Xenopus tropicalis: one gene and its partners. The protein of the gene in region 1 interacts with the protein of each later gene in a biochemical or structural test. Links are inferred from orthologs where the notes say so. Each region holds a gene or a part of one and is shown in the gene's direction. Other genes may lie near its edges. The genes, in order: nedd4, pmepa1, sgk1, map1lc3c, wbp2, gabarap and map3k5.

What was found.
Region 2: the proteins of nedd4 (region 1) and pmepa1 form a complex in vitro, tested with the Homo sapiens proteins (2 studies listed by BioGRID, with this or other methods). The link is inferred for Xenopus tropicalis from reciprocal best matches to the Homo sapiens genes NEDD4 and PMEPA1.
Region 3: the proteins of nedd4 (region 1) and sgk1 form a complex in vitro, tested with the Homo sapiens proteins (3 studies listed by BioGRID, with this or other methods). The link is inferred for Xenopus tropicalis from reciprocal best matches to the Homo sapiens genes NEDD4 and SGK1.
Region 4: the proteins of nedd4 (region 1) and map1lc3c form a complex in vitro, tested with the Homo sapiens proteins (2 studies listed by BioGRID and IntAct). The link is inferred for Xenopus tropicalis from reciprocal best matches to the Homo sapiens genes NEDD4 and MAP1LC3C.
Region 5: of the proteins of nedd4 (region 1) and wbp2, one has a biochemical effect on the other in vitro, tested with the Homo sapiens proteins (6 studies listed by BioGRID, with this or other methods). The link is inferred for Xenopus tropicalis from reciprocal best matches to the Homo sapiens genes NEDD4 and WBP2.
Region 6: the proteins of nedd4 (region 1) and gabarap form a complex in vitro, tested with the Homo sapiens proteins (2 studies listed by BioGRID and IntAct). The link is inferred for Xenopus tropicalis from reciprocal best matches to the Homo sapiens genes NEDD4 and GABARAP.
Region 7: the proteins of nedd4 (region 1) and map3k5 form a complex in vitro, tested with the Homo sapiens proteins (2 studies listed by BioGRID, with this or other methods). The link is inferred for Xenopus tropicalis from reciprocal best matches to the Homo sapiens genes NEDD4 and MAP3K5.

What each region holds. Positions count from the first base shown.
Region 1 is NC_030679.2:100,483,819-100,487,318, forward strand, and holds part of nedd4 (E3 ubiquitin-protein ligase NEDD4), read left to right. Parts: intron 1-968; coding exon 969-1,023; intron 1,024-1,100; coding exon 1,101-1,159; intron 1,160-1,700; coding exon 1,701-1,766; intron 1,767-3,500. UniProt on the Homo sapiens protein: E3 ubiquitin-protein ligase which accepts ubiquitin from an E2 ubiquitin-conjugating enzyme in the form of a thioester and then directly transfers the ubiquitin to targeted substrates. Specifically ubiquitinates 'Lys-63' in target proteins.
Region 2 is NC_030686.2:5,338,580-5,341,639, forward strand, and holds part of pmepa1 (protein TMEPAI), read left to right. Parts: intron 1-2,509; coding exon 2,510-2,664; intron 2,665-2,819; coding exon 2,820-2,873; intron 2,874-3,060. UniProt on the Homo sapiens protein: Functions as a negative regulator of TGF-beta signaling and thereby probably plays a role in cell proliferation, differentiation, apoptosis, motility, extracellular matrix production and immunosuppression.
Region 3 is NC_030681.2:71,248,924-71,251,712, reverse strand, and holds the end of sgk1 (serine/threonine-protein kinase Sgk1), read left to right. Parts: intron 1-365; coding exon 366-521; intron 522-622; coding exon 623-712; intron 713-1,186; coding exon 1,187-1,354; 3' UTR 1,355-2,289; downstream 2,290-2,789. UniProt on the Homo sapiens protein: Serine/threonine-protein kinase which is involved in the regulation of a wide variety of ion channels, membrane transporters, cellular enzymes, transcription factors, neuronal excitability, cell growth, proliferation, survival, migration and apoptosis.
Region 4 is NC_030681.2:57,421,675-57,424,404, reverse strand, and holds the end of map1lc3c (microtubule-associated proteins 1A/1B light chain 3C), read left to right. Parts: intron 1-1,103; coding exon 1,104-1,263; 3' UTR 1,264-2,230; downstream 2,231-2,730.
Region 5 is NC_030686.2:44,869,609-44,873,887, reverse strand, and holds the start of wbp2 (WW domain-binding protein 2), read left to right. Parts: upstream 1-1,479; 5' UTR 1,480-1,546; coding exon 1,547-1,605; intron 1,606-2,832; coding exon 2,833-2,941; intron 2,942-3,648; coding exon 3,649-3,784; intron 3,785-3,928; coding exon 3,929-4,021; intron 4,022-4,237; coding exon 4,238-4,279. UniProt on the Homo sapiens protein: Acts as a transcriptional coactivator of estrogen and progesterone receptors (ESR1 and PGR) upon hormone activation. In presence of estrogen, binds to ESR1-responsive promoters. Synergizes with YAP1 to enhance PGR activity.
Region 6 is NC_030679.2:153,336,136-153,340,065, reverse strand, and holds the start of gabarap (GABA(A) receptor-associated protein like 1), read left to right. Parts: upstream 1-1,130; 5' UTR 1,131-1,230; coding exon 1,231-1,320; intron 1,321-3,930. UniProt on the Homo sapiens protein: Ubiquitin-like modifier that plays a role in intracellular transport of GABA(A) receptors and its interaction with the cytoskeleton.
Region 7 is NC_030681.2:58,903,864-58,907,363, reverse strand, and holds part of map3k5 (mitogen-activated protein kinase kinase kinase 5), read left to right. Parts: intron 1-1,222; coding exon 1,223-1,328; intron 1,329-3,500. UniProt on the Homo sapiens protein: Serine/threonine kinase which acts as an essential component of the MAP kinase signal transduction pathway. Plays an important role in the cascades of cellular responses evoked by changes in the environment.

The sequences.
Region 1 (3,500 bases):
AGGGAACTCATCATTGAAAGATAGCAGTCAGGACAGGTGTACAAAAAAGTATCCAAACATTTGATGGAGCGCAATAAAGATAGTCATCAACAAGTGTAGAAAATACAGCTCAACAGTGACTGTACCAAGATCAGGACATGTCTCTAAAACTGATGTGAAGGGAGATACTGGTTGTTCCCTATATATGACAACAATCAGTCGTATTCTTCATATGTCTGGGTTCTGGGGTAGTGTAGCAAGATGATAGCCTTTACTCATAGAAGATCAAAATCCAAGCCCGGCTTAACTTTGCAGAAGGTATACCCAGTCTCCCCCAACCATGTGTTAAAATGTATTATGTTCTGATGAGACCAAGGTTCAACTATTTGGCCATAATTTCAAAAGGTTTGTTTGGCACAATAATAACACAGCACATCATCATAAGAACACCATACCCACAGAGAAGCTGGAACCTGTGTTTTAGTCAAGGTGGTTGGAATCATAAATAGCTCCAAGTATCAGTCTATTTTGTCACAAAACCTGATGATGATGAGGAACTTCACATTTCAACATGACAATGACTCAAAGCATACATAAAAATCAACAAAGCAATGGCTTCACCAAAGGAGGATTGGTCTTCTGGAATGGCCCAGCCAGAGCCCAGACTTACATAGGTATTTTACAAAGTACAACACTCTGCGGGTCTTTTCAACAAGACCAAAGTGTATTTTTTGAACCTGCAGAGTGCTGAGCTTTGTTAAATACCTAATAGGCACCAAGGTGCCATTATTTGCCAAATTGTGCTTGTCACTGCAGTAAGCTGCATTGCATAAGGTCACATTTGGACCTAACTACAGAAATATATGGCAACTTCCCTCAAGTGATGGTTCCCTGGTCTTTTGGGGAAGATTCTTTTTGTTGCATTCTGCACAGGAATCTCTGGCAAAATAGAATGTAAAATACTAATATTGTTTAACCATCTCTTACAGCCTGGATGGGAAGAAAGAACTCATAATGATGGAAGAGTATTTTACATTGATCACAGTAAGCTATTTTTTGTATTTACTTTTTCAAAATATTTGTTGTAAATTGCCTATAAAATAAAATATAATTTGTTTTAGACACAAAGCAAACACAGTGGGAGGATCCACGCTTACAAACTGCAGCAATAACTGGACCAGTAAGTATCATGTTTATTACCAAACCTTTTCGATTCTAGTTATTTGTTTAGAAAAAACTCAATATAGGTACACATAGGTATCATTTACAATGCACAACACATTGTGCAAAACAAAGTTAAAAAAATGGCCACAATTAGCCATTTATCTACCATGTTTATGCACCTTGCATTGTACAAACAGCAACAGTCCTCTGTGTTCTCTTGCATTAGTTAGCACTGTATTAGTGAAGTGAAGGCAGGGGGAGGCACGTAGATGTCCCCTCTACCCGCCCCCTACCTTGCGTGTCCCCCTAGCACCCCCTAGGAAAGTAAATGACCCCTAACCTTAATATTACTTGTATTTCCATTAAAGAAGATTGCTTTCATAAAGCAGATTTTATGTTTATTCCTTTACATTATGCTAATGTGTGTTCACATTGGCACAAATGCAAATTTATATCTTAAACAGCAGTAGGATTGGCTAAACCACACATTTATCATCTTTTCATGCAAATTTGTATTCAATGTTCAATTCTAATATGAATGTCCTTCCTCCTTCAAGGCTGTGCCTTACTCCAGGGATTATAAGAGAAAGTATGAATACTTCCGGAAGAAATTAAAGAAGCAGGTAATTGTCTCCCAGTTTTAGCACTGTATGCAGTGGCATAACTAGATTTTACTGGGCCCCAAAAGATTGGTAAATTGACCTATATCAAGAGATATTGAAATACCGTATATACTCGAGTATAAGCCGAGTTTTCCAGCACTCAAAATGTGCTAAAAAAGGAATCCTCGGCTTATACTCGAGTCAACTAGTACCAGCGCATCAGTTTCAGGCAGGATGCAGACACGTTGAGCCGCTGGCAACCCCCCAGAGCCCCTCCTGCGTCGCCCGAGCACTCGAAATCAAACAACTGCATACAGGCATCAACCTCCCTCCCCCGTGTCTCTCCTACCGATGTGCACGTCGCCTGCATGTCACTCTGTGTTGCGCCTCCGGATGCTGTCCCGAGCTCTCACAATCCTGCCAAACTTACTAGTACCGGCGCATCAGTTGCAGGCACGTCACGCCCGAGTACCCCCCTCCCTCTGCGTGTGCGTGACGTGCCTGCAACTGATGCGCCGGTACTAGTAAGTTTGGCAGGATTGTGAGAGCTCGGGACAGCATCCGGAGGCGCGACATAGGACAGAGAGTGACATGCAGGCGACGTGCACATTGGTAGGAGAGGCACGGGGGAGGGAGGTTGATGCCGGCAGCGCGACCTGCCTGCATGCAGTCCACAAGAGACAGTGCTCGGGTGACACGCATGTAGTCAGTAGGAGATAGTGCTCGGGTGATGGGGGGGATGCCGCTGGCGCGACCTGTCTGCATGCAATTGATAAGAGTCAGCGCTGGGGTGACACACGGGGGTGTGAGGGTTTTGCTGCCCACGCGACCTGCCTGCATGCAGTCTGTAGGAGAGTGCTCGGGGTGACACGGGGGTGGTGAGTTGCCGGCAGTGCGACGTGTCTGCATGCTCGCTACAGCCACGCAAAATGTTGTTTTGAATAAAAGAGAATCACAGCACAGTAAGTTGTATCTTACAAAATGGTATTAGAATTTACAGAATTTATTGGCTGAGAGGGCATGTAGGAAGATATGAGGTAAGCAGAAGTTTTGATAATTGGAATTTCTTATGGTATCAGTTTTGCTTTTCGATGTGTAGAAAAAACTTATTATTGAAACTTAGCAGTAGCGGCTGCATTTCCCATCCTAGGCTTATACTCGAGTCAATACGTTTTTCCAGTTTTCTTAGGTAAAATTAGGTACCTCGGCTTATATTCGGGTCGGCTTATACTCGAGTATATACGGTAGCTCATTATTAGGGCCTTACTGTGACCTCTTCATTCCTTTCTCTGTAGTTTCTCTGACTGTATATGTGGAAGGACCAGCTTATGCTAATACATTGTTTCATGGTGTAAGCAATCTCATGTCATTTGAGGCATTAGAAAGGCATGCATCTGACATTTTTGCTTTAATATCAACCCCAAAGATTGTTAAATGTGTGTCCAACACATTAAGCAATGTTGAGATATTTGGTTAAAAATTCCAAAACCCTCTATTTATATGTGTATATATTTATATAATGCTACTTATATTGTATTATGTGTGTACTGAGCCTTTAGGGACATCAGTATTATGAAGTGGCTCAGCTACTGACTTTCCCTTCCAAATGTCAAATATGTTAGAATTACTCACAGCATAGCATCTACATGTCTCACTGGGTGGGAGCTGCTAAGTCAGATTGGGCTATGTGCGAAGTTTGCTATTTTGAAATTCTTAAAGGGACACATTCATCAAGTTACTAATGTTTTATTTGTA
Region 2 (3,060 bases), on another chromosome or scaffold:
AGCAGCGGCACTAACACGGGCAGAGAGATGTAGTTCAGCCCCAGTGGAGCGGCCGCTGATGAAGCGGAGAGGAGTAAGGGATATAAGCACTACAGCAGCAGCACTAACACAGGCAGAGAGGTGTAGTTTAGCCCCAGTGGAGCGGCCGCAGCCCCGGCACTAACACAGGCAGAGAGGTGTAGTTTAGCCCCAGTGGAGCGGCCGCAGCCCCAGCACTAACACAGGCAGAGAGGTGTAGTTTAGCCCCAGTGGAGCGGCCGCAGCCCGGCACTAACACAGGCAGAGAGGTGTAGTTTAGCCCCAGTGGAGCGGCCGCAGCCCCGGCACTAACACAGGCAGAGAGGTGTAGTTTAGCCCCAGTGGAGCGGCCGCAGCCCGGCACTAACACAGGCAGAGAGGTGTAGTTTAGCCCCAGTGGAGCGGCCGCAGCCCGGCACTAACACAGGCAGAGAGGTGTAGTTTAGCCCCAGTGGAGCGGCCGCAGCCCCGGCACTAACACAGGCAGAGAGGTGTAGTTTAGCCCCAGTGGAGCGGCCGCAGCCCGGCACTAACACAGGCAGAGAGGTGTAGTTTAGCCCCAGTGGAGCGGCCGCAGCCCGGCACTAACACAGGCAGAGAGGTGTAGTTTAGCCCCAGTGGAGCGGCCGCAGCCCGGCACTAACACAGGCAGAGAGGTGTTGAAGCCCCAGTGGAGCGGCCGCAGCCCGGCACTAACACAGGCAGAGAGGTGTAGTTTAGCCCCAGTGGAGCGGCCGCAGCCCGGCACTAACACAGGCAGAGAGGTGTTGAAGCCCCAGTGGAGCGGCCGCAGCCTGGCACTAACATGGGCAGAGAGGTGTAGTTCAGCCCTAGTCCCAACGACAATGTTCCAGAGTTTGGGAAGTTTTGGGGCAGTTTGAGATTTAACAGGTTACATGTCTGTGGGGGGGGTTGTTTCCCTAGCGTAGGCCTCCCGTGTTACATGTCGAGGTTATCGCCAGGGCAAATATTCCTTCGCCCCTTGGCTGCCAGTGTTTTTGCCCTCTGTGTACAAAGCCCAGCGAGTCCCAGAATTCGCCATTTCAAAGGTCAGTGTGAGCCGGTCAAGCATCAAACATCCAAATAAAAGGCCTTGAATTCCAATGAGGGAGCATTGAAATGAGCCTGTGTTTTCCCATTTTAGCGTGTCCCTTTCTGCCCGGCTTCCCAACACGGCACCGCCGCCCAGCAGAGGCGTCGCGGGCGGCATAAAGACGTCTGTTCATCAGAAATTGGCATCGGTCACACCGCAGCCGCGGCCTGATGTGTGACAAGGGCAGAGGGGTGTAGGGTCCCTGGGGTGGGGGGGTAACCCTCCTATTCTAGATACTGATATTATGAGGGGATGTCGTTATTAACATATAAATGGGGCACATACTTTTGGCCTTGCGTCTACGCGTTGCATGAAATTACCTCACGGCTTAGGATTCTCCGTCAACAAAGGCGGAATTTTATGGACAAAACAAAATATGTTCCTCTGTAAATGGCGCACAATGCCGGGATGAAGATGTGGCGCCCCATGAATACCGCCAAATCCTCCTAAACGCACCAAAGATACTTAAGTTTCATTAAACAGGTTGTACCCATAATGCTTAGATTTGTCCGTTAGTTCATAATCTCACTAACGACCTCATTCAGGGGCTTATATGCTCCATTGGCCTTAGGTAGTACAATATCAGCCCAGAGCATTCCTTCTCTGTATATTTGTATTTATACATATGGGTAGGGGGTGCCATAGTGTTTCCCTTTGACAGTACAGTATGGGGGTACAGCTTATTGTGTGCCCAGAACATTCCTTCTCTGTATATTTGTATTTATACATATGGGTAGGGGGTGCCATAGTGTTTCCCTTAGACAGTACAGTATGGGGGTACAGCTTATTGTGTGCCCAGAACATTCCTTCTCTGTATATTTGTATTTATACATATGGGTAGGGGGTGCCATAGTGTTTCCCTTAGACAGTACAGTATGGGGGTACAGCTTATTGTGTGCCCAGAACATTCCTTCTCTGTATATTTGTATTTATACATATGGGTAGGGGGTGCCATAGTGTTTCCCTTAGACAGTACAGTATGGGGGTACAGCTTATTGTGTGCCCAGAACATTCCCTCTCTGTATATTTGTATTTATACATATGGGTAGGGGGTGCCATAGTGTTTCCCTTAGACAGTACAGTATGGGGGTACAGCTTATTGTGTGCCCAGAACATTCCTACTCTGTATATTTGTATTTATACATATGGGTAGGGGGTGCCATAGTGTTTCCCTTAGACAGTACAGTATGGGGGTACAGCTTATTGTGTGCCCAGAACATTCCTTCTCTGTATATTTGTATTTATACATATGGGTGGGAGGTGCCATAGTGTTTGAGGGTATATATATGGGTCAGATGCTAATCAAGACATCGTGGGTATAATTGTTAGGAGCTTACGTGCTATTGGCTGGAGGTTCATTGTGTAACTCACGGAACTGTCTCTGTGTTCTCTCCGCAGCGGAGCTGGAGTTCGTCCAGATAATCATCATTGTGGTGGTGATGATGGTGATGGTCGTGGTTATCACTTGTCTCCTAAACCACTACAAGCTCTCGGCCCGATCCTTCATCCACCGGCACAGCCAGGGCAGGCGGCGAGAGGAGAACCTTTCCTCGGTAAGTCTCATACTTACAGCAAATCCTTTTTAGTCAAAGAAAATGTGATTCTAACCAACTTCCCAATATTAGAACAATAGTTTTTTGGCCGCCGGGGTCAGTGACCCCAATAATAAAACACGTTCTACCTAACACATCTCTGTTTCCTTACCCAGGAAGGAAATCTTTGGCCGTCAGAAAGCACAGTGTCGGGAAATGGAATCATAGAGGTAAGAGGAAATGCATTCACCTATTCATGCACGGAATTAAAGGGGAACTACGCCCAATAACTGTCAATTGTATAACAAAACAAAAATACTATTCAAAGGAACTTCCTAATCTGCCGTCGTTCCAGATTCTAAGTGGGTTTATAGTTGTGTGTAAAGGTCATTGCTATTGTCTGTCGCTGTCTGTCCC
Region 3 (2,789 bases), on another chromosome or scaffold:
TCAGTAATACTGAGTCATAAGACTCTTTTAGGCCAGTGCACAGTTCAAGTTCTGCTTGAGATCTAACCTAAAAATGGGTCTCTAAAACATAACAATAACCATGTCCTTCTGAATATGTTAAAGTAAACTAACCAAGACCCTATCTTATTTACAAATATCCAATGTAATGACATGGGGTCAGAAGGCCCTACACAATTGCTAAACTTTGGATGTTACAGTGTACATTCATATATTCAGATGGCCCTGGGTGGATTTTCATATTTTATGTTTTTGTCCCTTAGCTTGGCAGGCAAGGTAAAATTGAATGAGCAAATGTGTTTTTATAGGATATATGCTTATTTGCATTTGTTTTTCTCTTTCACCAGCCTCCTTTCTACAGTAGAAACACTGCAGAAATGTATGACAATATCTTGAACAAGCCACTGCAGCTAAAACCAAACATAACCAACTCAGCCAGGAACCTCCTGGAGGGTCTTCTGCAGAAGGACCGAACAAAAAGGATTGGTGCGAAGAATGACTTTGTAAGTAAAGTTTCTAAATATAACCATGTGATGTTCCAACAAGGCAAACACGTGTCTAATTACTTTTGATTGGTCTAATCCTATTTCTTCTTCTCTGACAGATGGAGATTAAGAACCACATGTTTTTCTCTCCAATTAACTGGGATGATCTGATTAATAAGAAGATTACACCTCCCTTTAACCCAAATGTGGTAAGTTGTCACTATCTTCATATATAGAAATTCATATGCATAAATTATTTTCATAAAGAAAGTTTTCATGTGCTTCATAGATGCTTTGATCATGTCTATTCCAGCAAAAATTATATAATGTTTTCTTGTGAACTTAGGGGTAGGTAGAGCAAGCAGTATTATAGCTTCCACATTAAAAGATATTGTATAGATAAATAAGCAAAATAGCACTTTTACATATTTACTTACTGAGCACTTCATGACCCAGCTATTGCACATGGGTAACTCCCAGCATCCTCTGTGAAAGCATTCAAATGCATTCCCTTGTATTATAGCAGGAGACTACCAAAGGTTAAAGTACTGGAATCTAAATGTCTATATTGTATTGCAGCATGGAATTATACGTTTTGAATAGACAAGATGCTAGGTTTTTATTTTGGACTGCACCTCAACTGAAATTACAATGTTCTAACAAACCATTTTTCTCTGTTTCAGAGTGGGCCAAGTGACCTGCAGCACTTTGATCCGGAATTTACTGAAGAGCCCGTCCCTAATTCTATTGGCCAGTCTCCGGATAGCATCCTCATAACTGCCAGCATTAAAGAAGCTGCAGAAGCATTCATGGGCTTTTCTTATGCACCACCTATGGAATCATATCTTTGAGCAATCCTTCTTTCTCGTCTAGTAGTCATTTCTAATCAAGTCACTTTGATTTTTATTTCCTTTTGATGAAATTTGCACATCCTTCACAACAGCATCACAGCCTTAATTTCAACATCCCTGGTATTGCTGGAAGGGACGAATCAGTGGAGCTGAGAAAAGGATAGAAAAAAGTGACTTTGGACTTCATACTCTGTTGTTGGGAGAAATAAGAACTATTTGCTGAATTTGCAGCATACAACCCTTATATTATACAGAGGGATACATGAGGGCTTCTTAAGCTGGAAGAAGACATCCAAGTGTGTCTTTATAGTATGGGGCTTTTGCAACGTGCCTTTCTCTTTTGAGAGATCTTGTCTATCATAAGAACCATCCATATGACGTGGGGGCTCTTTGGTTTTGACAGTGGTTTTACAAGTGAACAATGGTATGGGTGTAAAGCTTATCACAGTAAAACTGTGGTTTTGCACACGTTAATGTGACATGCGTTGATCGCTAATTTTGGGGCATTGTATATTTCTTCCATATGTGGAAGCTAAATTAATGTAGATAGAAATTAGTTATTTTTTTCCCTGTAGATAGTACTAACTAAATATATATTGAAATGAGCTTGCAGTGACCTTTGTTAAAATGCTTTTAGGAAAGCATTGCTGCTATTAAAATTTCTATTTTTAGAAATGTTTTGGTTTTTTTTTTCTGGACCAAAATGCCCCACATTTAGTTGTTCAAGGCTGTAATGCCTAGTTTAAACAATTTTATTTATGTTATTTTTTTTGACATTCCAGACCATTATTGTGCATATTGTATATAATCAAGAGATGTATATTTAAACTGATATAAGTGTATGAGTTGAACATGCCAATGTACTGTAATTAATAAGATAAAGTATCTTTTTTGTGACCAAACCTGTGGGTTTGCAATAAAACTTAAAAAATTTATTTTGTTTATTTGTTATAAATAGGTAGATGTGTAGGTTGAAGGTTGATAGTAATATAAACCATTCATTAAAGGGGTTAAAGCATTCCCTTCATTGTATCAATACTAATAAGTATTAATAGGTTTATGGCTCCATGGTATTTTGTACCATACCGACCAACATTTACAAAATAGAAAGAGGGACAAAAAGAACTGCAGCACATTGCAAAACCTGGGACACTGGGAGCAACATCAAAGGTTGGTGAGCATTATTTTGCTCACAAACCACCAGTTGGAGATCACTGTGTTTACCTATGGGCAGGACCAGCTGTGTGAGTTGATTGCGACTTCTAATCACAATGGTAAATTTTCAGAAAATGCTACTGAAATAGCCACATAAGCAAATGTTTTAGTCAAGACATAATGGAGGAACAATGCACGATGCCAAAATTCTGGAAAAAATTACCAGCCTTCCTATTATTATTGCTTTCCTCCCTGTTAATAACATTAGCATCAAACATCA
Region 4 (2,730 bases), on another chromosome or scaffold:
AGTGTGGATCCAGTTTTGGCGGCGAATATGAAAAGTGGTAACCTAACTGAAGGGAACTGTTATTATAAAAAAACTCCTACTGAGAATTGGAACTGACGTGTGACAAGTAAAATTGTGATATTTATGATTGTACTGGTGTGACAAGAGTTAATAAAGTATTTGGGGATAGACAACAGCTCCCTGCACCTTTACTGGAGGAACTGTGACATAGGAAAGGACTCTTGGTGAGAGGAAGGCAAGTTGTTTTATTACTATGCTAACCAACTTGCACTTCTCCCATGCTCTCAGCATATCACGGTGATTACAGTACTGATTAATTGGCCTTCCAACCACTCAGTAAGTATTCTTTCTCTGCTTTGCCAAACCCGGCAAATCCACTACCATTCAGAATAAAATATGAACTAATAACCCTCACAATTAAAGCACTCCATAACTCTGCCCCACTTTACATCTCTGAACTCCTCTCCAGATACTTGCCAAACCATTTGCTATGCTGCTGTAATGACCTGCTCCTGATAACCTCTCTCATTACTTCCTCGCACCCTTGCATTCAATACTTTTGCAAGAGCTGTACCCCTTCTCTGGAATTCTCTACCATATTTTGTTGAATCTCTGTCTCTGAAAGATTTCTTGAAGGACAAGGAAAGGTTAAACAAAAAAAAAAAAAAAAAGTATAGCCATGGCATGTAGATATACTATGAAGGATTTCTCTTTAGGAGTTATTCAGAATGATTATTCACTTTTAAAATAAGTTAAAAGATGCTGTGGAAAGTTTATCTTCTGTACCAGAAATGAGCTGATTCAGGGTACATGCATGCACATTTAATCTCTCAGAAGCTATGGGCAGGTGCAGAAATGTATATTATTTTCCTATTCTATTCAGGGTGTCCTAATGCCTCCTGCTTTTAGAATGTAAGCTCCTTTGGGCAGGGCCCTCTTTACCCTTCATATTTGCTTTTGTATGTTAAATATAAACACCCATTTATTATACAGAATGTGAAGGCATTTTATAACATAACCACTATATTACTGTTACCATACTACTAATGATTCTTATTGGGTACAGAAAAAAATCTTTAAATGTGTGTTTTTTCTTTGTGCAGGAATCGCATGAACTTATCTGCTACACAAGCATTTTACCTTCTTGTGAATAACAAGAGCCTTGCCAGCATGTCACTTACGATGGCTGAGCTTTATAGGGACCATAAGGATGAAGATGGTTTCCTATATATGACATATGCATCTCAAGAGATGTTTGGTTGAATGCATATCACAAAAAAACGAGGACAATCTTTGTACTAAGAGGGGCCCAGATATGTACATGTGTAAATTCTAGACCCTAGTATTATATTATTATTTAAATTTACACCTTAAACATTTTTGGTCATTATTATAACATGGGCTGGAACTTAGAAGTATATGGCTATAGTGTACAATACTTTTTATTGAAATGTTTTCACTTAAAGGAACCTTTTATGTATGTTAAATATTTATTGAGCATCCTTTTAGAAAAGTCAAAAGATAATGCTTTTGTAAATTTATTGTAATAAAGGATTTAAAATATTTTATTTTTACAGAATTTTTTTGCAGATTCTATGTAGTACTAAACACAACTGTTTTCTCTAACTTAGAACAATTTTGTTTTTAGATAGACTTCCCCTTCACATGAAATAGTATTTGGGGTTATTGTGTATAACAGACTTTGCTCTGCACAGTATAAGTCAGTAGCTGCAGAAGCATAAAGTACTCTCTGCATAGAAAGGGCATTGACGGAATGCTTTTGCCTCTATATATTTCTTGTAAGACCTGGGCTTGGGTATGTATTGCAGCTTTGGGTACCACATCAAAATGTATATGTATTAATAACATGCAGCTAAAATTAATGGGCACGTGCTATTAGCAGAGAAGAGTTTGTTTTCTGTGGGGAAGAAGAATTTCTAAGAAGACACTTTTTTTAACACTGAAAAGAAAAAAAGAAGCCATCCCTTCTTTCACCTGAAGCAGTACAAATGGTTATTCACTGTTAGGACAGGGTGGGCTGTAAGGTTCCTAGGTTCTTTCTGGCTGTTTTTTTGTTTTTTTTTTTACTTCTGTATTTCCAATGTGCAATAGTGTATTTGTGTTTATGAAAAAACTCTGGCCAATCAAGAGGTTTTTGTTTTACATATATCACAAGAGGTTACTGCACAAAATCAGTCAGCCTAATGCTAAATAAAATCTCTTCATAAAATAACTACTGCCTTAATTTAACTGTGGAGGGTGTCAAAAATAGTTATTGTTAATTTACTGATTTGCCTATTTACCAATTAATCCAACACCTGGATATACTGCCTGATTATGTATGTATGTATGTGGGATAGCTTGGTTTGTATTGGCTATAAACAGGAACAGATCATAGTTAAATCTGGTTGAAAAAAAAACCCAAGTTCAAATCTTTCCATCGAACCCCAGCGCGCACACCTATACTGACCTATCTATACACTTGCATACATAAACTACAGTATATATACCAACATTAATACTAATTGCACATTTTAGTTTCCCAATAGCCTTGGATATTTTTGTTCAAGAACTCACCCAAGCCCTCCTTAAAAGCATTAAAAGAATCTGCCATCACATCACTAGGAAGGGCATTTCACAACCTCACCGTGAAAAACCACCTACGCTGCTTCAAATGGAAGTTCCGTTCCTCTAATATAAAGGGGTGATCTCTGGTGCACTGGTCCTTTT
Region 5 (4,279 bases), on another chromosome or scaffold:
GGGTACTCACCCGTGCGGCCCGTTCTCGCACGCCTCCTTGCGCGCGCGTCCCGTTGTCCGCGGGACATTGCGCACGCGCGTCCAGGTGTGTGTGCGTCAAAGCGCACGTACATGTCAAAGCGTGCACGTCCGCGACGCGCTAACGGCGCCGGTTCTGCGCATGCGTGGGGGGTATTTAAAGCTATCAAACGCCTCCTCCTGTGCTATGTTGTCTGCGGCCTTGCCTGGGAAACTAAGCCTGCCTGATTTACCTTACGACTTTCTGTTGCCGATCCTTCGCTTGCCTGACTCTGATTTTCAATACTACAGTAATTATTCTCTAATTTATTAGGAAATGGGGTTAACACCTAATCATGCATGGAAAAAAAAAAATACCGTCAAATACAGCGACACCGATATCATTTTGAAAAATACTGCAATATAAATTTTTGGCCATACCGCCCAGCTCTAATTTCTACCTCCTTCTGCCGATTCAGCGCTGAAGGCAGATTTTGCTCAGGCGCCTTCTACGGTGCCCAAACAAAATCTTTTAACCGGTCCGATTGGTGAGTCGACAGCCTTCTGTGATATCGGCCGCCTCGCCGAGTTGCCATACACGCACCGAATATCGTATGAAACGAGGTTACGTATATTATCGGTGCGTGTATGGCGGCTTTACCCTGGCAATACCGGACCCACCGTATGTTAGAGAAACGCAACGTAATACTTACCTGTAAGATAACTTTACCTCAACTAATATATACATCGACCAGTTAGAGACCTTCTTGTATTTCCGCCGCTATACTAAGGGGCTGATTTACTAATCCACGAATCCGAATGGGAAAAATTTGGATTGTAAAACGAACATTTTGCGACTTTTTCATATTTTTTGTGACTTTTTCGTAGCCGTTACGACTTGCGCGAATTGTCGCGACTTTCGTATTGAGCGCTCGAAAAAGTCACAAAATACCGATCATTACGAAAAAAAAACACTTTTTGGACGTTCGTGGGTTAGTAAATGTGCCCCTAAGTGTAAGAAGGGGCGAAGCAACTACGCGGGGAGTATGAAATAGCTTAATATCAGCCCTGTGATAACCTCAATTGGGATTGTATGAAATCCTGTTAGGAGAGGTTTGTAGTGAAGTAGTATGTTTAACTAACTAATTGGCCGATATAACTGTACAAAATAAGATTGGATATTCCCCATAAAGTAGAATTTAACACTTACTGCCCTGAATAGCCGCCCAAACACAGCGCTACATTGGTAACAACCGTAATACACGGAGCAGCTCTGCGCCTCAGCGCTAAGTGATCGTTACAATGAAGTATTAGCAACGCAGAAACACAACTACAACATTAGCGCCTCAAGCGGCCATGGTTTATTTTCAGTGATACACGCCCCCTAGCGATCAAGAACACATGCCAGTCATAGATCCCTCAGCCAATGAGCGGCCGGCCCTACAGCAGTGGAACCGCCCAGACTGCGTCTCAAAGTGCGAGAGACTCTTCGAGCACGGTGATTGGCTGTTGCTAGGCTGCGGAGGTGTGACCTTTTTATCTCCGCAATATGGCCCTTAACAGGAACCACCTGGATGGCGGAGGTGCAGTAATTAACAACAGCGAGAGGTAGGACAGCGGCTAAGTAGAGAGACAGTCGCGGGAAGCAGTCAGCGAAACGTTAGACGGACCCCCTGCATGAATATGGGTTCCGGGTATCTGTCATCATATATGGGGCGGAGCTTGGACATGACGAGCAGGGATTTGTGCCAATTATGGAGCTGATACAGATACACCCGCCTCCCTCTCTTTGCCTGTCTGCTGTACTATTTGTATAATATTGTGTGTGTTTTCCTATTCCCAGGCACAATATACTTAATTCTATCAGCATATCTATATATAATATGTCCCACATGTATCCCTTGTGAGATTTACTTACTAAACCCCCTTTATTATTATTTATATTATTAATTTAATATAATATTCTTATGAAGCACTTACATAATCACATGATACAGTGGAGGGGTGTATACAGTGCTGCAATATGTAGGAGATATTTAACGCTCAGACCCGGGGAAGGCAGAGTGACCCTGGAGATTATAGGAGGCCCCATAGGGCACTGACTGATAAGCAGTTTTAATAGCTTTATTATAAAAAATGTCTTATTCCTAAAGTTTATTGGGGCGCTAAAATGATTTTGCTATAGGGCTCAGTTATGCCACTGAAACCGCGTATCATTCAGTGTTCTGTTGGATCTCTTACGGTGTCGGACTGGCCCACAAGGATAGCAGGAAAACTCCCGGTGGGCCCAGATGTCAGTGGGCCCTCCTGCTCCTCAGCATTTGGCCTGCTTCATGGTCATTCCCTGTTTCTGAATGGGAACAAAGAAGAGAAATAGATGGAAGAATAGATGCTAGCATGTAAATAAAAGAGACTAGGAGAATAAAGAGGTTGGGTGAGGAAAGGAGGAAAAATAGTTTGGAAAAGCGGCCTGGGGTCTAAGGTTTTCTGGTGGGCCTCTGGGTTCCCAGTCTGACACTGATCTCTTATACCTTGGCAGTTGCAGGGTCTTCTTCCTCTACATTTACACCCTTGGGCACTCCTCTTATTCCTCAAACAGATAGTCAGTTTGGCCCAATATCATGAAGATGCACAATAACCACCCCCCACACACACCACACCCCCAAGGGGTCCCCATCATCCCAAACCCCCCAGTCTGGTGGAGGGACGTCAGTTCAGGAACACCAGCAGGGATCGAGGGGCCCGCTTGGTTTTTTCCCGGTGTCCAGCTGGCAGTTCGTCTTTGACTACTAAACTGCACTGTTCTCATTGAACTTGCCCTTTATTATCTTCCAGTATCCTTACTTCTTATGAACATGTGGAGGTCACATTTAGTGACATGGACAGCACCCCAGAGGCTTTCAGAGGGACCAAGAAAGGCAGAGTCATTCTGACACCATATCGAGTAAGTCTGCCTCCCTTTTCCTTCACTCATTAGGTGCAGTCTGACTCATTGGCACCATGGAATAAACTGCTAATGTGCAACTAAACTTTCCATTAGGTCAGAGAAGACACTTGGGGGTTATGTAATTAAAAAAACTAAATTTGCCCAGGAACAGTAACCCATAGCAACCAGTCAGCAGGTAGAATATACTTATTGGTTGCTGTGGGTTATTGCTATCAGGCAAACTTAAGGTTTAATCGAGTGGATCATTTCCACCTAAGGTGGGCAAAATTTGGCTAAATCGATTGTTTCGCCACCTGCCCATTTTTATCCAGATATTGGTTGGGTAGGCCTGCTGGGGGGCCCCATGGGCAGATAAGCGCCCGAAACGGTCTGAAGGACTCAAATCGGCAACTTAGATTTGCCAGTGTATGCCAAACTTTAGTGTCATTTATTACATATAGGGCTAGTGCCCTTCTACACCTCCTTAATAAAAGTCACAGAGGGGATCCATGAACATATAAAGGCGGCACAAAATCACTTTAATACAGGCCCTAAAGCTTTGAGGTGTCTAATATTCTCTCATTTTATTCCAAGGGGGTACATTATTCTTTCAGTTATTATTATTTCAGTGAGTCATGTGACACAGATTCTAACCTATTTATAAGCATATCTTTTACGGCTCTTGTGTATTATGCATGTGGGTGAGGCTAATTTTGCATCCACAGGTGATATTTGTGTCCAAAGGAAGGGACCCCATGCAGTCGTTCATGATGCCCTTCTATCTGATGAAGGACTGTGAAATTAAGCAGCCCGTATTTGGAGCCAATTTTATCAAGGGCAACGTGAGAGCTGAGCCTGGAGGTGAGCAGTGTTACTATCTGACGGATACCTATGCGTTCTAGGTCCCACTTCAGCTCCTGGGACACCTGCCTTTATTTTTTGCTAATATAATTTGCTGTAGGTTAAATATATCTTTTAATCTGGAATTCATTTCTTTGCCTGCAGGTGGTTGGGAAGGATCTGCTACATTTAAACTAAGCTTTCCTTCAGGGGGCGCTATAGAGTTCGGCCAGCACATGCTACACGTGGCCTCTCAAGGTGAGCAGGGGGTATCTGAAGTCACAATCTCTTGACATTTAGTCTGGACTCCCAGGACTACCTAGGAGAGCAAATACACATTTGCCACAAGCCCCACACCTCGGGGAAAAGATTTAAAGGGAAATCCCAATGGGTCAGAAATTCTGCCTCAGCCTTTGCAATGCACTTTTTCCTTTACCCATTTTTATAAAATATGGTTTCTACTCGCCCTTGTAGCCTCAAGTGGAGGAGCTCCAAATGTTGCCTACCCATATATGC
Region 6 (3,930 bases), about 53 Mb from region 1:
TCTCACACACACACACTCACTCTCACACACACACTCACTCTCACACACTCACTCTCACCCTCACTCTCTCACTCACACTCACTCTCACACTCACACTCTCACTCACACTCACTCTCTCTCACACTCACTCTCTCACTCACACTCTCTCACTCACGCTCTCTCACTCACACTCACACTCTCACACTCACGCTCTCTCACTCACACTCACACTCTCACACTCACTCTCACACTCACTCTCTCTCTCACACTCACTCTCACACTCACACACACACTCACTCTCACACTCTCTCACTCACACTCACGCTCTCTCACTCACACTCACACTCACTCTCACACTCTCACTAACACTCACTCTCTCTCTCTCTCTCTCTCACACACTCTCTCACTCACACTCACGCTCTCTCACTCACACTCACTCTCACACTCACTCTCTCTCTCACACTCACACTCACTCTCACACTCACACTCACACTCACTCTCACACTCACTCTCTCTCTCACACTCACTCTCACACTCACACTCACTCTCACACTCACTCTCACTCTCACACTCACACTCACTCTCACTCTCACACTCACACTCACTCTCACACTCACTCTCTCTCTCACTCTCACACTCACTCTCACTCTCACACTCACTCTCACACTCACTCTCACACTCACTCTCTCTCTCACACTCACTCTCACTCTCACTCTCACTCTCACTCTCACACTCACTCTCACACTCACACTCACTCTCTCTCTCACACTCACTCTCACACTCACTCTCACTCTCACACTCACACTCACACTCACTCTCACACTCACTCTCACACTCACTCTCACACTCACTCTCTCTCTCACACTCACTCTCACACTCACTCTCACTCTCACACTCACTCTCACACTCACTCTCACACTCACACACACACACTCCCACTCACGCTCTCTCACTCACACTCTCACACTCACTCTCACACTCACTTCTCTCTCACACAAACAGAATGAAACAGACTGAAAGGTTTCCGTTCCAATCGCACAAGTGAGTGAAGGGGCGGGAGGGGCGGTTGCTATGGTTACAGAGCTCCGGGCCCGATATGACGCAGCGGCTGACGTTGGGAAGGCGGAGCCACGATGCGGAAGTGGGGGGCGGGGCTCGGCCTGTTTATTTCCTGTCAGTGTCAGTCCTGAAAACAACAGGAACCGAAACTCCAATCGCAGTCTCGAACCGGTACCGCCCGGAGAGTCCGCCATGAAGTTCGTGTATAAAGAGGAACATCCCTTCGAGAAGCGCCGCTCCGAGGGGGAGAAAATCCGCAAGAAATACCCCGACCGAGTCCCGGTGTGTGACATACTGCCCCCGGGGCAACTACTGGGGCAGGAACCTTCCTCTGGGGCAGGAACCTTCCTCTGGGGCAGGAACATGGGGAGAGACTGGGGGTATAACATGGGGAGAGAGAGAGACTGGGGGTATAACATGGGGAGAGAGAGAGACTGGGGGTATAACATGGGGAGAGAGAGAGACTGGGGGTATAACATGGGAGAGACTGGGGGTATAACATGGGGGGAGAGAGAGACTGGGGTATAACATGGGGAGAGAGAGAGAGACTGGGGTATAACATGGGGAGAGACTGGGGGTATAACATGGGGAGAGAGAGACTGGGGGTATAACATTGGGGAGAGAGAGACTGGGGGTAATAACATGGGGAGAGAGAGACTGGGGGTAATAACATGGGGAGAGAGAGACTGGGGGTATAACATGGGGAGAGAGAGAGACTGGGGGTATAACGTGGGGAGAGACTGGGGGGTAAACATGGGGAGAGACTGGGGGTATAACATGGGGAGAGAGAGACTGGGCGGGTTATAACATGGGGAGAGAGAGACTGGGGGTATAACATGAGAGAGAGAGACTGGGGGTATAACATGGGGAGAGACTGGGGGTATAACATGGGGAGAGAGAGACTGGGGGTATAACATGGGGAGAGAGAGAGACTGGGGGTAACATGGGGAGAGACTGGGGTATAACATGGGAGAGAGAGAGAGACTGGGGTATAACGTGGGGAGAGAGAGAGACTGGGGGTATAACATGGGGAGAGAGAGAGACTGGGTATAACATGGGGAGAGAGAGAGAGACTGGGGTATAACGTGGGGAGAGAGAGAGACTGGGGTATAACGTGGGGAGAGAGAGAGACTGGGGGTATACATGGGGAGAGAGAGACTGGGGGTATAACATGGGGAGAGAGAGAGACTGGGGGTATAACATGGGGAGAGAGAGAGACTGGGGGTATATACGTGGGGAGAGAGAAGACTGGGGGTATAACATGGGGAGAGAGAGAGACTGGGGTATAACATGGGGAGAGAGAGAGACTGGGGGTATAACATGGGGAGAGAGAGACTTGGGGGTATAACATGGGGAGAGAGAGAGACTGGGGGTATAACATGGGGAGAGAGAGAGACTGGGGGTATAACATGGGGAGAGAGAGAGACTGGGGTATAACATGGGGAGTGACTGGGGTTACATGGGGAGTGACTGGGGGTATAACATGGGGAGTGACTGGGGGTTATACATGGGGAGAGAGAGAGACTGGGGGTATAACATGGGGAGAGAGAGAGACTGGGGGTATAACATGGGGAGAGACTGGGGTATAACATGGGGAGTGACTGGGGGTATAACATGGGGAGAGAGAGAGACTGGGGGTATAACATGGGAAGAGAGAGACTGGGGGTATAACATGGGGGAAGAGAGAGACTGGGGTATAACATGGGGAGAGAGAGAGACTGGGGGTATAACATGGGGAAGAGAGAGACTGGGGTAGACTGGGGGTATAACATGGGGAGAGAGAGAGACTGGGGGTATAACATGGGGAGAGAGAGAGACTGGGGGTATAACATGGGGAGAGAGAGAGACTGGGGGTATAACATGGGGAGAGAGAGAGACTGGGGGTATAACATGGGGAGAGAGAGAGACTGGGGGTATAACATGGGGAGAGAGAGAGACTGGGGTATAACATGGGGAGAGAGAGAGACTGGGGGTATAACATGGGGAGAGAGAGAGACTGGGGGTATAAACATGGGGAGTGACTGGGGGTATAACATGGGGAGTGACTGGGGGTATAACATGGGGAGAGAGAGAGACTGGGGGTATAACATGGGGAGAGACTGGGGGTATAACATGGGGAGTGACTGGGGTATAACATGGGGAGAGAGAGAGACTGGGGGTATAACATGGGGAGAGGAGAGAGACTGGGGGTATAACATGGGGAGAGAGAGAGACTGGGGGTATAACATGGGAGAGAGAGAGACTGGGGTTATACATGGGGAGAGAGAGAGACTGGGGGTATAACATGGGGAGAGAGAGACTGGGGGTTTAACATGGGGGAGAGAGAGACTGGGGGTATAACATGGGGAGAGAGAGAGACTGGGGGTATAACATGGGGAGAGACTGGGGTATAACATGGGGAGAGAGAGAGACTGGGGGTATAACATGGGAGTGACTGGGGGTATAACATGGGGAGAGAGATGGGGGGTATAACATGGGGAGTGACTGGGTATAACATGGGGAGTGACTGGGGGTATAACATGGGGAGAGAGAGGACTGGGGGTATAACATGGGAGAGAGAGAGACTGGGGGTATAACATGGGGAGAGAGAGACTGGGGGTATAACATGGGGAGAGAGAGAGACTGGGGGTATAACATGGGGAGAGAGAGAGACTGGGGGTATAACATGGGGAGAGAGAGAGACTGGGGGTATACATGGGAAGGAGAGAGACTGGGGGTTTTAAACATGGGAGAGAGAGAGACCTGGGGGTATAACATGGGAGAGAGAGAGACTGGGGGTATAACTCGGGAGAGAGAGACTGGGGGTAAATAACATGGGGAGAGACTGGGGTATAACAAGGGGAGAGACTGGGGGGTATAACATGGGGAGAGGAGGACTGGGGTATAACATGG
Region 7 (3,500 bases), on another chromosome or scaffold:
ACCTTTCTGATACAGCTTACTTAGCTTTTGCCTTTCTTCCTCCTATAAATGGGGAAGTTTTGTATTCGTATTTTTCATAAACTAGGAATTCAAGTACTTAGTAAAATATACAATTTGTAGCATAAAAAAATCACTATTAGTAAAAAAGAGCAAAATACAAATAGTAAATGGGCCCTAAAATTTTAAGCTTTTCAGTGGCATTTAAGCACTTCATTCATCTTTACTTTTTCCAGGTACCCAGTGGTTTGTGTGTTTTATAGGAAATTCAGCTCTTCTTTAACAGATAGGGAAGGTACTCAATAGACCACAGCCCTGGGTTTCCTGATATCTACCTCTGTGTGCTATCCCTAAAGAATAGAAAGAATGAAAATATAAGATATATATAAGAATTTTCCTTTTTGATCTCAATATCTTAAATCTTATATTTGATGAATTAATCTTAAATTAGTGATTTTATAGCACTTTTCACATTACACATCATCAGTTACTTCATATTGAGTTTATATAAGGGTTATAAATGTCGCACTTTCCTAAACAATATGTCCACAATGCCATTATTACACTTCTTTCCTGACAAAGTAATTCAATCCCCCCTCTACTTTGCCCTACTTTAATCATTCGGTTGGTGTTATACTATATTATATGTACTTCTTTATATTTCATTTATTGATTAGGGGGTGGTGGCTTTTTTGGCACAGTATTGGTGCTTTAAATGTTTTTGGAGCTGAAAACATCATGTTTCAACATAGAGCATCTTTAGGTTGAAAACTGCCCATGCTGGTGCTGTTAGATTTTTCCTTTTTAAGTTCAGGAAGTGGCAGGTACTGCTGACATAATAATGCACAGAAAACATCCTATGCCCTCAACCTAAAGGAGCTGGTCAACTATTGACCAGTCTGTTTGACATGGAAATCTTAGTGCAGGGGTCCTCAAGCTAAGGCCCGCAGGCCGGATACTTCCCCCCAAGGTCATTTACCCGGCCCCCGCCCCCGCTGTATGCTCACCCCTGGCTACTACCTGTCTGCCTCAGTGTGGCCCTCGGCCTCAGTGAGTCACATAACTGCGTCCTACCGCCCAACGCTAATGGCGCTCCATATCTTAAAGACTAACTATAGTTTGGCCCCCCCAACAGTCTAAGGGACTGTGAACTGGCCCCCTGTTTAAAAAGTTTGAGGACCCCTGTCTTAGTGAGTATAGTCAATTTTCATTTTTCTTTTACCAGGTAAATAAAGTGCTACGAAATCATAACATAAAGCCTCACTGGATGTTTGCCTTAGATAATATAATTCGAAAGGCCGTGCAGACAGCTATCACTATCCTGGTACCTGGTGAGTCCCATATATATAGACCCATGTGTTCTGTTGCAAAACTATTGATAATTTGTTGGATACAAATGTTGAGTGTTTGATATTTGCTGAGTACTTCAAAAATATATTCACATTTTCTTTTTTTAGACAATCGTTCTTTTTAGGAATATATGTTTCCCAGAAGTAGTTAACCTATTATCAGCATTGTCCAGTATTACTGCAACAGTAGGTATTGAGCTCACTGAAGAGAAACTACTCCATCATGAAAATTACATTTTAACATGTGGAGATAGTTACATAGTTACATAGGGTTGAAAAAAGACCAGTGTCCATCAAGTTCAACCCATCCAAGTAAACCCAGCACACTTAACCCACACCTACCAATCTATACACTCACATACATTGATAATTGAGGAAAAGCATATGCAATATGCAATTTAACTGTCACTGCTAACAAAAATCCTAAATACTAACTCTGGTGGATGATTAATAAATAATGATAAAATATAGTTAATTTTGCATGGTTGTTTTCTGGATGCATTGAGTATACTTATGCTGTGTTTCACTTGCTGATTATTATCCCAAGCATTATAGATCCTATTCCTGTATTTATCTATTTATTTTGTTTTCATCATTTTCCCATAAGCTTGCAATTGCTATATACATTTAACTTTTCTCTGTGTAATCAGTCCCACCTTCTGTATGCCATTAAAATTTGCTTCACCTTTGTCTTACTTAAAACTGTATACACAAACTTACTAAAATGGCCATTCCTTTCCAATGCTGCTCCCTTCGCTTAACTTACCCTAGGCTCACTCCATGTCAGTGTTGCATAGTGTAGATATATATATATATATATATATATATGTAGTATATTATTACAAATATACTGGAGATTCCACTATTTACCACAGCCAGGTAAATGGAGACAACCACGGTTCTTTTCCAGAGATGAATCAATCTATTCAGATTGTCCAGCCCAGAGACAGCAAATAATACAAAGGTCTTTCGAACGTGCCCACAGGATATGTACTGTAGCCTTCAGAAGATTTCTCCCTGACCTTCCATATATCTTTGTGCGTGTATCTGTCTAAATGTGTAAGAGCTTCACAAGTTAAGGTGGCCATACACGCACCGATATTATCGTACGAAACCTCGTTTCGTACGATAATCGGTGCGTGTATGGTATGTCAGCGAGCCGACCGATGTCGCAGGAAGCTGCTGAAATTGGTCGGCTCTTCGATCGGCCAGGTTAGAAAATTTTGATCGGGCGCCATAGAAGGCGCCTGACCAAAATTCTCCCTTCAGAGCTGAATCGGCAGAAGGAGGTAGAAATCCTATTGTTTCTACCTCCTTACCTGCCGATTCAGCCCTGAATGGTGTGTGGCGGATCTGACGATGTTTCGTGCGACCGATGGTCGTACGAAACATCGTCAGATCGCCACGTGTATGGCCAGCTTTATACTGTTAGAATCTCGCTGACCAAAGTAGGGATTTGTTCTGATTGACAAGATAATCAGGTATCATAATCTTTGTTGTGTTAGTCAGTCAGGTCATTTCCATAAGGATGCTGTTTCACCATAAACAACTGAACAACCCGTTTACTTTGAAATGCTAAGAGAGGTTAGTCACTGCTATTTTTAGAAAACGAGTTCCAGTGACAAGTTGCTTGTTTTATCTCTACATAGAGAAAAATATAAATCGCCAGTACCTAAACTGACAATACCACTTCAAAATGCTTATCACTCCTAATCGCTATGAGACCCTTTTTCGAATGATTTTACAAAGAATTGAATTGAGCGGGAATTTGCTGCAATTTCCCCATTTCACTGAATGTAATTTCTAATTGTGGGCAGGGAATATGACACCTGGATTTGTGGGAAATAGAATTACTCTGTTGTTGAAATCTCTAGTAATCGCTTGTAAGGAAAAGACTTGCTTTTTAAAAATCGCTGCGACTAATCTCTCCGTGGGACATTAGCCTAAATGATATTAATATCATACACTTGTAGGTATGTATGCATAGTCCCCACACATATTACTACAGTCAGTATTTAAAGGGATGGTCCCCCCCCACCTCCTCCCACTAGAAGGACCCTCCCCAAATCTTTACAAGACCAAGCTCATCCACCTATCGGCATCTTTTTGGTCCTTCTGCTTTTTGAAAGCAACATTTTCTTTTTAATCTTAAGA